Linked DNA regions of Saccharomyces cerevisiae S288C. Changing the gene in region 3 together with the main gene of any one other region gives a genetic interaction. Each region holds a gene or a part of one and is shown on either strand. Other genes may lie near its edges.

Evidence for each region.
Region 1: mutations in GIM5 (region 3) and NUM1 together harm fitness more than expected from each alone (negative genetic interaction), as found in Saccharomyces cerevisiae (5 studies listed by BioGRID, with this or other methods).
Region 2: mutations in GIM5 (region 3) and DCC1 together harm fitness more than expected from each alone (negative genetic interaction), as found in Saccharomyces cerevisiae (6 studies listed by BioGRID, with this or other methods).
Region 4: mutations in GIM5 (region 3) and ELM1 together harm fitness more than expected from each alone (negative genetic interaction), as found in Saccharomyces cerevisiae (6 studies listed by BioGRID, with this or other methods).

Annotation. Positions count from the first base shown.
Region 1 is NC_001136.10:753,675-758,696, reverse strand, and holds the start of NUM1 (Num1p), read right to left. Parts: upstream 3,070-5,022; coding exon 1-3,069. Other genes in the region: KGD2 (dihydrolipoyl transsuccinylase), read left to right, coding at 3,631-5,022. UniProt on the Saccharomyces cerevisiae protein: Controls nuclear migration. NUM1 specifically controls the interaction of the bud neck cytoskeleton with the pre-divisional G2 nucleus. Functions in dynein-anchoring.
Region 2 is NC_001135.5:94,052-97,305, forward strand, and holds DCC1 (Dcc1p), read right to left. Parts: upstream 1,713-3,254; coding exon 570-1,712; downstream 1-569. Other genes in the region: NFS1 (cysteine desulfurase), read right to left, coding at 1-219; BUD3 (Bud3p), read left to right, coding at 2,230-3,254. UniProt on the Saccharomyces cerevisiae protein: Component of the RFC-like complex CTF18-RFC which is required for efficient establishment of chromosome cohesion during S-phase and may load or unload POL30/PCNA.
Region 3 is NC_001145.3:80,675-83,418, reverse strand, and holds GIM5 (Gim5p), read right to left. Parts: upstream 1,145-2,744; coding exon 1,129-1,144; intron 1,046-1,128; coding exon 570-1,045; downstream 1-569. Other genes in the region: UTP14 (Utp14p), read right to left, coding at 1-329; DNA repair protein RAD10, read left to right, coding at 1,306-1,938; YML096W (putative asparagine synthase), read right to left, coding at 1,933-2,744.
Region 4 is NC_001143.9:346,645-350,878, forward strand, and holds ELM1 (serine/threonine protein kinase ELM1), read right to left. Parts: upstream 2,493-4,234; coding exon 570-2,492; downstream 1-569. Other genes in the region: centromeric DNA-binding histone H3-like protein CSE4, read right to left, coding at 1-120; ANR2 (Anr2p), read left to right, coding at 2,819-4,234. UniProt on the Saccharomyces cerevisiae protein: Important role in G1 events required for bud emergence and septin organization. Coordinates cell growth and cell division at G2/M, essential for efficient cytokinesis and for regulation of SWE1.

The DNA.
Region 1 (5,022 bases), on a different chromosome or scaffold from region 3:
AGGATTCTCCTTGCACTTGACTAGGTCTTCGTATGCACTATCCGATAGTAAATGGTGATTGGTGGCCTTGGCATGTTCAACTAGGTATTCCAGTGATGGTTGTTCTAGTTTCTTTTCCAATTCAGAATATGCCTCGTTGGATACCACAGTGTGGCCTAGTTTGGCAGACTTCTCCTTCAAGAATTCCATATCAGGATTCTCCTTGCACTTGACTAGGTCTTCGTATGCACTATCCGATAGCAGATGGTGATCGGTAGCCTTGGCATGTTCGACTAGGTATGCTAGTGATGGTTGTTCTAGTTTCTTTTCCAATTCAGAATATGCTTCGTTGGATACCACAGTATGGCCTAGTTTAGCAGACTTCTCCTTCAAGAATTCTACATCAGAATTTTCCTTGCACTTGACTAGGTCTTCGTATGCACTATCCGATAGCAGATGGTGATCGGTAGCCTTGGCATGTTCGACTAGGTATGCTAGTGATGGTTGTTCTAGTTTCTTTTCCAATTCAGAATATGCCTCGTTGGATACCACAGTGTGGCCTAGTTTGGCAGACTTCTCCTTCAAGAATTCCATATCAGGATTCTCCTTGCACTTGACTAGTTCTTCGTATGCACTATCCGATAGTAAATGGTGATCGGTAGCCTTGGCGTGTTCGACTAGGTATGCTAGTGATGGTTGTTCTACTTCCTTCTCCAATTCTGAGTATTTGCGTTGCAATTCAGAATATTCCTCGCTAGATACCACAGTATGGCCTAGTTTAGCAGACTTCTCCTTCAAGAATTCCACATCAGGATTCTCCTTGCACTTGACTAGGTCTTCGTATGCACTATCCGATAGTAAATGGTGATCGGTAGCCTTGGCGTGTTCAACTAAGTATGCTAGAGATGGTTGTTCTACTTCCTTCTCCAATTCTGAGTATTTGCGTTGCAATTCAGAATATGCCTCGTTGGATACCACAGTATGGCCTAGTTTGGCAGACTTCTCCTTCAAGAATTCCATATCAGGATTCTCCTTGCACTTGACTAGGTCTTCGTATGCACTATCCGATAGTAAATGGTGATTGGTCGCCTTGGCATGTTCAACTAGGTATTCCAGTGATGGTTGTTCTAGTTTCTTTTCCAATTCAGAATATGCCTCGTTGGATACCACAGTGTGGCCTAGTTTGGCAGACTTCTCCTTCAAGAATTCCATATCAGGATTCTCCTTGCACTTGACTAGGTCTTCGTATGCACTATCCGATAGTAAATGGTGATTGGTGGCCTTGGCATGTTCAACTAGGTATTCCAGTGATGGGCTCACGTAGTCTTCTTTTTTGAGTAATAAATAATCTGATGCAGAAGCTTTTTCTCTTAGAAAGTCTATCGTTGGGTTCTTTAAACCTTCTAAGGCTTTAGTATCAATCAGCACTTGGTCGTATTCTTTTGCCTTATCTGACAGGTATTGTTTCGAAGGTGTTTCTATCTTATTAACCATTGAAAAATACAGATCATTACTTAGCCATTTACAGCCGTTTCTCTCCTCCAGCCATTTACAAATATTCGATTGTAAGTCGTTCTTTGCTTCCAGGCATTTTTTCATTTGTTCAATTGATGGATTCTTGACACTCTCAAAAAGGTCATTATAATCTTTGGTAGGTATTATCAGGCAATCAATTTTGGATGTTAAAGGCAGTAAAAAATCAATAGTAGGCTCTTTTAACAAGTTAAACGTACTTTGATCGATGGGTATCTTTTTCAAAGCCTGAAGTTTTTCCTTGAGATAGTTATATGATGGATTTGATAGGGATTCGTTTAGGTTCTCAAACTCCTCTAGAGGAAGAACTTTATAGCCAGAAGCTTCTAAATATTTAATATGAGATTCTAACGAAAACTCTTTTTTGCTGTAATTGTCATCATTTGGTAACGCGATCATATTCAGGTTTTCAGCCACCTCTTTGGTCATTAATTCATCGTCTTTTGGTTTGGATGCACTTTCACTTTTTTGTAGTAAGTTTTTATATGAATCATTCGATAACAATATCATATTGTTTTTTTCTGAGTATTTCTTGACAAGATCTTCAGAAATGTCCTCGACAGAGGGGCCTGTTTCAATCATGTGGTCAATTTCGATCACTATATCAAAAATGTCTTCTTCACTAGTGGTCCCCTCAGAATCAGGATCAGATGTTACTGTAGTATCGGAAGTATGCTGTTTTTGATAATACTTCTTTTGTACTTTTCTTTTTAACGAAGAAATAGATGCTTTGGCGTCATCAAGTTGCTTTTGAATTTTTATTCTTTCAGTTCTATTGCTCTGTAAGGAATTAATTTCACTTGTTAGATCAGAAACACTAATAAGTAATCTGTCGTTTTCATTATTTAAGTCTAAAATCCTTTCCTTTAATTCACTAATCTCTTTATCGTAATGAAGTTTTTGAGAGCTAAGATCATTTTCCATGCCATTTTTTGTTAATGTTAAAATTTCCAAATCTGTTTTCAGAAGTTTCAGGCTTTCTTTTTCATCATTCCAAGATTTTTCAGTCTTTTTCTTCAATTCTTTTAATTGCCTACATTCCATGCTCAAGTTTGTTAATTTAGATTCTAAATCCCAGTTTAAATCTTTAGTTGAATCCAACTCTTTCATGAAGGACTTTTTTTGGTTAGTGAGCTCCTCAATCTTGTCACTTAATGACTCTTTAATTTGCTTGAGAGACTTGATTTGCTCATTTTTAGCTTCATTAGAGGATTGCAATTTCCTACACTCAACCAACAAATTCTCGCTTAGTTCCAAAGTAAAGTTCATATCCTTTGATGAATTCGCCGTGAGTACTCCATTGTGGGAACTACTGCCTGCAAATTCCGGAAGCACGTCTTTTGTCTCTCTTTTACTCAAAATACTTGAAATCGAAAACCGCTTTGTTTTATCTCCTTCATCACCACTGCCGCATTCATCAGCCTTTAAGTTAGCCATCCTTGTTACGCCGTTCGTTGAGACGCTTTCCTGGCTTAATGAATTGTCAATGCTATTTGCATACTGCCCTGCTGAGCTGTCTTTATCGTTATTCTTTTTATGCCTGTTGTTGTGGGACATATTCGAACGTCTCGTGGAAAGCCTTGACCGTTGCGTCTTTACTCGTCTCTATTCAACCCTGTGGTCCTATTAGAACCGATCTTTGTTCCATCGTCATTACTACTTCTTGTCTCTTCTCTCTTGGGGAATAATAAACAAAACAATTCCAGCCACCCGCATCTCCGTCAAAGACGATATTAACAACCCTTTTTTTGCAGCCAATCAAAACTAAGGTCCTGCCCGGAGTGAGCCAATAAAGCGGCCACAAATTACGCAGGAATCTATGGTTCCTAAAGCTTATTCTTATTCTACATTAGCACCATTCTACTACAGGGCTCGGATCCACACTTGGTCTATCAGCAAATGCAAATCCTTTTTCCCTCAACTAGGCCTACTTTTCATATATAATCTCTTTTTGAGCTTCAGGGGAGGAAATATCTAACGTAAAAAAAAGAAAAATCCGAAATAAAAAATTAGGCAGCTATCTTTAACGGTATATATCAGTGAATAGATATATTGTTATAAACTTCACTACCACATTTGTTACAACCAAAGACACAACTTCAGATAATTATTTAAACAATGCTTTCCAGAGCGACGCGTACTGCAGCTGCCAAATCCTTAGTAAAATCTAAAGTGGCTAGAAATGTTATGGCTGCTTCTTTCGTCAAGAGACATGCTTCTACAAGTTTGTTCAAACAAGCTAACAAGGTCGAATCCTTAGGTTCAATATATTTATCCGGCAAGAAAATTTCAGTTGCGGCGAATCCGTTCTCCATAACTAGCAATCGTTTTAAATCTACCTCTATTGAAGTTCCTCCGATGGCAGAGTCCCTGACTGAAGGCTCTTTAAAGGAATATACTAAAAACGTTGGTGATTTTATTAAGGAGGACGAGCTGTTGGCCACTATTGAGACCGATAAAATTGATATTGAGGTCAATTCGCCAGTATCAGGTACTGTTACGAAGCTAAATTTCAAACCAGAGGACACTGTCACTGTTGGTGAGGAGTTAGCTCAGGTCGAGCCTGGTGAAGCACCTGCTGAGGGTTCTGGAGAATCTAAGCCAGAGCCTACCGAACAAGCGGAGCCATCGCAAGGTGTCGCCGCAAGGGAAAACTCAAGTGAGGAAACGGCTTCAAAGAAAGAAGCTGCTCCAAAGAAAGAAGCCGCTCCAAAGAAAGAAGTTACAGAACCAAAAAAGGCTGATCAACCAAAGAAGACCGTCTCTAAGGCGCAGGAACCCCCAGTAGCCTCTAACTCTTTCACACCATTTCCACGTACAGAAACCAGGGTCAAAATGAACCGTATGAGATTGAGGATTGCCGAAAGATTAAAAGAGTCTCAAAACACTGCTGCTTCCTTAACCACATTCAACGAAGTTGACATGTCAGCTTTGATGGAAATGAGGAAACTGTATAAAGATGAGATTATTAAGAAGACCGGTACTAAATTCGGATTCATGGGTCTTTTCTCCAAAGCATGTACCTTGGCCGCCAAGGATATTCCAGCCGTCAATGGTGCCATTGAAGGTGACCAGATTGTTTATCGTGATTACACAGATATTTCTGTTGCTGTGGCCACTCCAAAGGGTTTGGTTACCCCCGTCGTTCGTAATGCAGAGTCATTGAGTGTTTTAGATATTGAGAACGAAATTGTTCGCTTGAGTCATAAAGCGCGTGATGGCAAATTAACCCTAGAAGATATGACGGGTGGTACTTTCACCATATCTAATGGTGGTGTTTTTGGTTCATTATACGGTACTCCTATCATCAATTCACCACAAACAGCCGTCCTAGGCTTGCATGGTGTCAAAGAGAGACCTGTCACTGTTAATGGACAAATTGTCTCAAGACCAATGATGTACTTGGCTTTGACTTATGATCATAGATTGCTAGATGGTAGAGAAGCTGTTACCTTCTTGAAGACTGTTAAAGAGTTGATTGAAGACCCTAGAAAAATGTTGTTATGGTGA
Region 2 (3,254 bases), on a different chromosome or scaffold from region 3:
GGTGGTACCGGATGCACTCGCACGGGCACTAGCCTGTGCCTTTGCAGCAGCCTGAATATCGGTATGCGTTTCCAGAGAGAAGTTGTCGTCTAACTTCACGCCTGCTGCAGGAGGGGAATAGAATCTCCTGCTTACCAAACAAGCCCTATATGTGGCCGCTGGAACGTTGTAAACTTGAGATAATCTTGTTATCGATCTTGTAGCAGTTGATTTCAACATCTTCCAGTTGTAGCAGTTCCTTCGTGTATGCGATATATTTTAATGAAAATGATGTATCTGAAATAGAAAATATAACACACTAATGAACTCTGTCGGTCTTTACTCTGAGTGAGTTACTTAGATAGTCATCATATATCCCTGGGCGATGGCCTTACTATTTGTCAGCGACCGTATCTAAAATTGGTAGGTCACTATCAACTATTGCGGGTAATAGGGTGCATAATAGTATTGTAATATATATAAATATATAAAGCTACTATGATAGATATTTGTTGCTATTCACGTCATCCACTATTACTTTAGTGGTTCCGCTATATATTCGCATTGCCCATCGAAGGCAGTTTTGTGTGCTACCTGCTCGTGACCACGGTCTTTTTGCCCAGTCTTTTACGGCGGGCATACTTCATGATGAAACTGTCTATTTTCATACCTCTTGAATTTAGTTCTTCAATTAGAGGCTTGATATCCTCCAAGTCCCACTGTGACTGTAGCCTAAACAGGACTTTAAACCGTTCTTTGGGGTCCATTGGTAGTGTGCTTTTCGCTATATACTGGACAGTCTTATCGGTAGGCTTGAAATGATAGCCTCGCAGCATGTCAATGTCAATGTCACATGGGAAGAAAGGTGGGAAAAGGGACTTCCACTTGATGAGGAACTCATCAATTGGCATGCTTATTCCAGAAACATATTTCCTTAGCGCTTGAATCCCGTACCACTGAGCTATAAACGGTATTCTCAAGCGCCACGTATTGTTTTCAGCCTCTTGCTCTTGAACAGCAAATTTATTCAGCACTGTTTCAATGATTTCTCTTGTGTATGGATTGAACTCGTCCTCAATGTCCTTCCCCACAGCGTGATGTGTATCCTCAACATTCAGATGCTGTAGATCGAGTGATTCTGCCATTGCGCTCATCAGTAGTACATGCAGTGCTTTGAAAAGGAAGTCTTGTGAAAGAATACACAACACACCGTCTTTCACAGATCCACCAATCTTATGCCATTTTGATATACCTTCTAGCGCAGAACATGGTGAGTTCTCAAGTAGTTCTTCCAGGGTCCCGATAACCTTTGTAGATGACCTCTTCATGATTTTGTCGGAGAAATCCAGTTCTCCGTTGTATATTGGTACTGAATTCAAGTTCAATTCGCCATGTGTCTCTCTGGTCTCAAATTCTGATTCAGTCTTGGCGAATCCCACGACGTCCATGTACGGCTTGGACAGTCCAAACAAGAGCGTTTCGTCGAAAGTAATAGGTTGTTCAGGAACAAATTCTCTCATTAGTAGAACTGTGTTTGAATGTTTGCGCTGCTTCAGCACCCAAGTCTTGTCGTGCGAACACAGTACAACTTCAGACTTGTCTTTGTCCAATGACTTAAACCTTAACTGGTGATTTTGAACCGGATCCTGTATTATATCCAGTAACTCTGGTGTCAACTGGATCAGCTTATAAGATGGATCATACTCGGGTGCGGAATGTAGGTTGATGGACATGGTACAGGATTATTAGTGAGCAAATCTCTGGTGGATTTTTACCGTTCATCTCATAGTGCTTTTTTAGTTTATTTTTCACTTTTTTCTGGTTATACTATACGCTGCCTACTGAAGCAATAAGCAAGAAACACAACAGTATAAAGGGACAAAGATAATAAACCGCCTACTACTAAATAATATCGCTGTGGTATGCTACTCCTAGAGATTTCGATCACCATCGTGGTGCTCTTTGTCATACGCATAGAATTGACAAAAAAGAACCCTAAGCTATAAATTAGGTCATGTTGAGCGATTGCCAGTTGCCAAGACCTAGGGTTTTGTTCGAACAATTCTAAAAAGGTAAATAAAAACAATGGTAAACAAAGGCTTTGATCTTCAATGAGGAAGATTTCTCTCACTGCGGATAGTAAAAACAACACTAGTTTGTCTGTACTCGCATTCTACTGCTGCTACCTGCTACTCATTACGTGTTCGGGCTGTTATCTGGTTGCTAAAAGAGTATATTTACACCTCACCAATGGAGAAAGACCTGTCGTCTCTTTACTCTGAAAAGAAAGACAAAGAGAACGATGAAACCTTATTTAACATCAAACTATCCAAATCTGTTGTCGAGACCACACCGCTAAATGGTCATTCATTGTTTGATGATGATAAATCACTTTCAGACTGGACGGATAATGTGTTCACTCAATCAGTATTCTATCACGGGTCAGATGACTTGATATGGGGGAAGTTCTTTGTCTGCGTGTACAAGTCCCCCAACAGCAATAAGTTGAACGCTATAATATTCGACAAATTAGGAACATCATGCTTCGAATCCGTCGATATATCTTCCAACTCGCAATACTATCCGGCCATTGAGAATTTGAGTCCAAGTGATCAGGAAAGCAATGTTAAGAAATGCATTGCTGTCATTCTGTTACAGCGCTATCCATTACTTTCACCATCAGACTTATCACAAATATTGTCCAATAAATCGGAAAATTGCGACTATGACCCCCCTTATGCTGGAGATTTGGCTAGTAGTTGCCAGTTGATAACAGCAGTTCCTCCAGAAGATCTGGGGAAGCGCTTCTTTACATCAGGACTTCTGCAAAATAGATTTGTCAGCTCTACCCTGTTAGATGTTATTTATGAAAACAATGAATCCACCATCGAACTAAATAATAGGTTGGTATTCCATCTGGGTGAACAACTTGAACAACTTTTTAACCCAGTCACAGAATACTCACCGGAACAGACAGAATATGGTTATAAGGCGCCAGAGGACGAATTACCCACAGAATCGGATGATGATCTTGTCAAGGCCATTTGCAACGAGTTATTACAACTACAAACAAATTTTACTTTCAATTTGGTAGAATTTTTGCAAAAATTCCTGATCGCCTTGAGAGTCAGAGTACTCAATGAAGAAATTAATGGGTTATCCACAACCAAATTAAATCGACTCTTCCCACCTACAATAGATGAAGTCACAAGAATCAATTGTATTTTTCTAGACTCGCTAAAGACAGCAATCCCTTACGGTTCCCTCGAAGTACT
Region 3 (2,744 bases):
TGGTAGTTTGCATTCTCCTTCTTGTCACGAATAGTTTGTGAGAATTTGGAATTCAAAATGTCATAGTCATCATCAGAGCCCAACGCTTCATCAGAGTTCAACTCCTCATCTTCAAACGACTCAGAATCGATATCATCTTCATCACTGTTAGTGTCACCTTTTGACCTTTTTAACAAGTTGACAACTGTACCATTACGACGAGCATCATGTCTTTTGTCATTGTCGCTGGAGTTATCGAATTCACCATTAATTTCTCTCTCAGCAAGTTGCAAAGCATCCAAAACTCTTCTAGAACTCTTGGATCTGCTCTTAGATTTCTTTTTTGCCATATTTAAGTTAGCTTATTTTGTCTTGAAGCCTCTTTTATTAGTATATAACAAGATGTTATTGAATGCACACTTAATGAATTTTTTCAGCTCATCGCCATAGGAATTTGAAAAATTTTCAATGGCCTTTTCCGGAAAACTACAAAGTGACGATAAATAAAAAATTACGTTGCATATAGATAAACGTATATCAGATGGCTACAAATGAGATATGAAAAATCGTAGGAAAAGCAAAAGAGTTACCTAGGCTGTAGACGACTCCTTTTTTTGTTGCTGCTGTTGTTGTTTACTCATCGCTTCATGCTGTCTAATAGCGGCTTGTCTTATTTGGGCCTCGATGGACAAGGAATACTGGGTCTTTTCCTTAATAATATCTTGGATCTGTACAGATTCTTTGTTAAGCTTGTCTACTTTCTTTTGGTAAAATGCGATTGCTGCTTCAGCGCTCTTTTCAACGTAATATCCTGTACCAATGTCGACCATGAATTTCTTATTGTCTACAATCTTACCTGGGATGTATAATGATGCAGATGCTGGAACCAGTAGTTTTTGCCCTTCATTTCCTGCTTGGGAGACTGTTTTAATATCATCAATACATTCTGTGAACTTGCCCTTAGCCATGGTTAATGCTTGCAAGGACTGTGTGAAATGCTGCAATTCTTGGTCGAATTGCTGTTTTACAGCATTCAGCTGCTCGGGATTTAGTTTAGTTAAATCGACTAAGTTTCGAACATGTAGTAACTTAAAAGTTAGTAAAGTGTCTGTACGGTGGCAACAACGAAGGAGCTATTCATTTACATACTTTTTTGAGAGGACATGGCTTGATTTTTACAGTGCTCTTTCTTGTTTGGGTCACAGCAAGATTTTCATCTAAGACACTTTTCTATTTAAAATCGTTAGAACAAAAAAGAAAATTGTAACTTATGAGACAGCCACGCAACACAAAAAAGGGCATAAACAAAGTTGGTTATCCTAGAAGATGAACAATACTGATCCTACTTCATTTGAAAGTATATTGGCTGGTGTGGCCAAATTGAGAAAGGAAAAGAGTGGTGCAGATACTACTGGATCTCAATCGTTAGAAATAGATGCATCAAAACTCCAGCAGCAGGAACCGCAAACATCAAGACGCATAAATTCAAACCAGGTCATAAACGCCTTCAATCAGCAAAAACCGGAAGAATGGACCGACTCAAAGGCTACAGATGACTATAATCGAAAGAGACCCTTCAGGAGTACTCGACCGGGAAAAACTGTACTAGTGAACACTACCCAAAAAGAAAATCCACTCCTGAACCACTTAAAGAGCACCAATTGGAGATATGTATCTTCAACAGGAATTAATATGATATACTACGACTATCTAGTTCGTGGAAGAAGTGTACTGTTCTTAACTTTGACTTATCACAAATTATATGTCGATTATATCTCTAGGAGAATGCAGCCCTTATCTAGAAACGAAAATAATATACTGATATTCATAGTAGACGATAACAACTCTGAAGATACCCTTAATGACATTACAAAACTATGTATGTTCAACGGATTTACTCTACTTTTAGCATTTAATTTTGAACAAGCTGCAAAATATATTGAATATTTGAATTTATGAACAATTCCTATTTTCTTTTAATAAATCTGTTCCATGCTTATTACCATCCTTTGTCATTTTAGCGCTTTTAGCACCGAATTGAATGGCCCTTTTTGGTTCTGATGATATTCCATCCAACTTCAAATACTGCGAGGCAACTTTTCGAAGGATTAATTTGTTAACCTTGAAATTAATGGGAATTTCTGCTGTAGATAACTTTATAACATATTCATCTAAAAATGGGTATCTCACCTCCACGCCATTATGAGCTATCACTTTATCATCACGATTCAGGTTGCGATCATAAATGTTGTTTATTTGCCTTGTAAGTTCCTCCACAAGTTCATGGGGTGGTTTGTTGGCAAACTTGTGATATCCACCGTAGAGTTCGTCTGCTCCCAGTCCGCTGAATAACACTATCCCATGGCGCTGATATGGCGTTCTTTCCCCATTCAGAGAAGTTAAGAAACCTCTACCTCTCGACGCAAAAAAAAAAGCAATGGCTATAGACAAGTCCATTTCAGTCTGTTTAGGATACATTAAATTGATAACAAATGGCTTCCATTTTAAATACTCATCATAAGGAACGTCAACTTCAACCAGTTTGATATCAACATTAGGATATAAGTTTTGTAAAGTCTTTGCACTGTTAATGGACAGTTTTCTATCAGGTGTATCACTGGGAAAAAGACCAGTCCTGGGGTTTTCGAAGGATACATTTAGAAGCTCTATAACTGGTTTTCCACATTTATAATCATTTTCTTGCAACACCTCGCAGATCAACGCTACTATTACTGAACAATCAATTCCTCCTGAGAATAGTACCG
Region 4 (4,234 bases), on a different chromosome or scaffold from region 3:
CGATAACGCACGATCGTTAATAGATTGTTGGTCTCCTGCAAGCCTGTTGACGTTACTGAGTGATCTTCCACTCGAATCACTTTGAATAGCAGAACTAACCCATTGTTGTTTACTTGACATGATTATGTTATATTAGTATTCTTTCTATATTCAGTCCTTCTTCTGTTTTTTATAAAGTAAATTCTCAAGATTATCTACTACTGTTTTTAAGAGATGTTTTCTCAATATTTATCGATGAAGTTTTGTTTTTCTTTTGTTTTCAATTTACTTCCGCGATTTCGCGACACAGTGGGATCAAGATAAATCATATCGTTCGATATTCTCGCAATAGAAGACCACTAAACTCTCAATTGATAAATGTTGATGTCGATTTCAATTATCAATGATGGTATATTATGAATATTATCTTTAGTGTTATTAATACAAATGCAAATGTGGGTAATTTGCCGTTTCTATATATATATTTATGTATTTACCATAACCAAGTAAATCAATTAATAATCATATTTCACATCGGCTATACGATTATCAGCTAACCCAATCCGACAGATATCATCCTGTAGTTTCATCTATATTTGACCATTATCTGCAAAGTTCAGATACGTTTTTACATCTTCTACTGTTTCTCGAATGTCACTATCTTCCGAATTTATGTATGCTTTAAAGTTGAGAATATTACTTGAATGAGCAAGCTTTCTAGCCCCTGAATTGTTAACCGTGCGCTTTCCAACAGTCCTATCCATTAGTGGGGAACTCGGTTTGTCCTGTGAGCAATTAATATGGGTTCTGTTCCCGTTCTCTTTAGGGGAACTCTTTAGTCTTATCATGGCTTTGATAGGTGTTGGGATTTTCAATGACGAATGAGAGGATGACTCGCTTCTGTCAGTTTTCATGTCCGAATTCTGCTTATCATTATTCACAGTCAAATTAGGTAAGCTTTCATTTGACCTACAAAAAGTATCTAAGAAATCCGTAACCTGAATGGCTTCCTCCCCTAACGATGAACAATAATCGCTCGAGTCTGGCGAAGATCTAAGGACCGTAGTCGAAAAACATTCTTTATCCGGTTCCTCGTCGATATGTATCGAAGGTGTTACTTTACTAGTTGCAGATACCAATACCTTGTCTTTCCCTTTTCCTGAGGTCTTTTTCTTTCCTTTTTTAGTCAGTAGCCTACCAAAAAATCTTCTTACAGGACCTTCGTTTCTTACGGGGTTCACACTGGACGATGAAATTTGACTGTGATTCCTAGAATCTATGGGCTGGTCACGCGACAAAACCTTTACTAAATCCTGAATACTTATGCGTAAAGTAACGTCTTTCTCCAATAACCTTTTAATGACTAAATCGTTTAAAGTATTACCATTTATTTTGGAACTCAATGATACTTCGATGATTTTGTGGTAGGTTTCGAATTCATTTTCCCCGAAAAATGGCAGCTCGTTGTACAGTAAGCAGTATAGTGTCACTCCCAATGACCAAATATCCAACTTAAAGCCATCCGTCACAAAATCTCTTTTGGAATTGCCCAAATGACATAGCTCTGGTGCAATAAATGCCGGAGTACCAACAATTTTGTTCAATTCCCTCTGAAAACAATCTTCAAAATTAGCATCGCTGAAAGGTAATGATTGGGGAGTGAAAATACAACTTCCAAAATCAGAAAGTTTCGCTACTTTTTCTTCTTCATCCAATAAAATATTGGACGGTTTGATATCACGATGAATACAACCCTGAGAATGCAAATATTCCAACCCTTTTGTCATATCCTCCAGGATTTTTTTGGCAAATGTAGAAACACTACAATTTGAAATCACAATTTTTTTCCATTGCGGTAAAATATCTTCATCATCGTCACGTTTCCACTGTAGTTCACCAAGGCTGCACCAATTAGTGACTATCCAGATAGATTCGCTGAAAGGAGAGTCCAAGCATTCTATTAGTCGCACAATATGAACATTATTTCGAAGTCTTGAAGCCGCAAAAATTTCCCACCTACATTTTTCGATATTCATAAGTCTCATAGCCTCATTACCACTCATATTTGTCGTTATTTTTCCTTTACTCTTCCAAAGCTGGATTTGCCTCATTACTTGATTTACTGAATATTGCTGGGCATTCCAAGGTTTTTTTGGTATAATCTTGACAGCAACAACCTTGCCTAAAGTAGAACTGTACGCTTTTCGTACATAACCAAATTGTCCACTTCCTGCAGAGACTCCTAGCGTATATTGGTTTATAGTTTTCTTATCTTGGTCACTAACAGTTATTTTTTTCACATATGGTCGAATTTCATCCAGGATCGTGTGTATATTTTCTCCTATAATTGTACTATAGGTTGGTTTCTGTTGAGAAAAAGAAGAACCAAATGAAGATGTCTGGCTCGTAGGCGTTATCGGGGGACTATCTAACTCATCCTCTCTTATGCACGATTGCTGGGATAATGGTGCCCATTCCGGAATTAATGTCGGTATAAGCTGTCGAGGTGACATTTCATGCTAAGTAATTATTGTTAACCTGGCGTTCAAAAAATAATATCTATGCGAGTAAGTTTGTAACACCTAAAGAAGTATCATCGGGGGGTTTTCAAGGCCAAATTAGTTCATAGGACTAGAGACTGTTGCATTGTTTATTTGTTGCTACCTCATCATTCACAAATTATACGTTTAAAGTGATGTAAAATCATGCTATATACTAATTTGGCATAACCTCTGTTGAGCGGCATCATTTAATGATTTACTTCTATTTTAATAATTACTTCATTTCGAACAACTTAATAGCTACTTCAAGAAGGATCAAGTAAGTTCCTCGAAGCACTATGAATTCCGGAGGTGAAGAACCAACTATAAAGCCAAATGTATTTAATATTACTCAACTTTTAAACTCAAATGGTGAAAAACCGGGAATTGCTTGCATCTTCTTAAGTAAATTTGACATGAAAAAGGGAAATATCATAATATGGTCTAAAAGTATTAATGGTGCGGCAATTGACTTAAGCAATATTGAATTTAAATCGTTACCAGCCGGTATTCACGAACAAACTGACGATGTTGTCAATTTTGTAGTTCCTAAAGAATTAGATGTCTGTCAAACTGCCAAGACGACAACTTATGATTACGGCATCGCCTATTTCAAACAAAATTCGTTCGATATTATTGAGAATGACAATCGTATTGATAGGAGTAAAGTTCAAATGTTTTCTCTTGGTGTAATTATCGATGTCCAAAATGCCTCATCAGATAGTAAAAAGCACTTTTATAAGGAAATATACCATGCGTATGCTGCCAACAGATACTCAAGCTATCTAGAAAGTTTACTCGGTCAATGGATAAGGCAGCGTGATCTTGATAAGTTTGATATTTTTGAAAAGTTTTTTGACGAGAATAACCAAGGGCACATGGCTGAAAATTCAGTAGAAGTCTTTGAACATTCACCCAAAGAAAGACGGCATTTGGTTGAATATTTGCCATACTGGACAAGGAAGTTAGGGCCTCTCATATTTCCACTTTGGAAAGCAAGTCTCCTTCAGTCAAGGATATTGATACTAGTTCCTCAAGGAGAATCGTTCGAATTGTGCAATTCTTTGGCCTATTGTGTCTTCTTAATATCAATGCTTCCAAAAAACTTGATAGGAAACCATGTAAGCGATGAATATATTAAGCCTATTTTCACGGTATCAACATCAGATATTCCTTTTCTAGAGTCGTTCAAAAAGGGGAACGGTTATGTGGCTACGACCAGCGAGGAAATTTTGTTGTATAAGCCTGAAATTTACGACATAGTAGTCAAACTTACTTCGAGCTCAACTATAGAAGAATCACCAGAAAAAGAAGTGGAAATTCTTACCGCATCTGGTGAACAAAACAAAGCAACTCCTCTTGACTTAGAGGTGTATGAAAAACTTATACTGGGGGAGTTACAAGAGGATGCCTCTACAAATGCGACATGTCGACATCATGAGGTGACAGAACCCATATCATGGCTACAGTTTTTAATTGATGGGTTTTTTCTTTTAACTACTGCAGGCTATCTGGTAGCGCCATATCACCTTGCAAATAATTTCAAGATTCCGAGGCACGTTTCTGGCCCAGAACCCAACAATTCAGAAATACAGATCGCTGAAAATTTAGTTCGCTATTTTCACCGCAGAACATCAAATCTGTACAACGATCTGAAGGATGTCATACAAAAAAGTGAAAATATTGATTCAGAACAACCGATTACTATCGCAGCT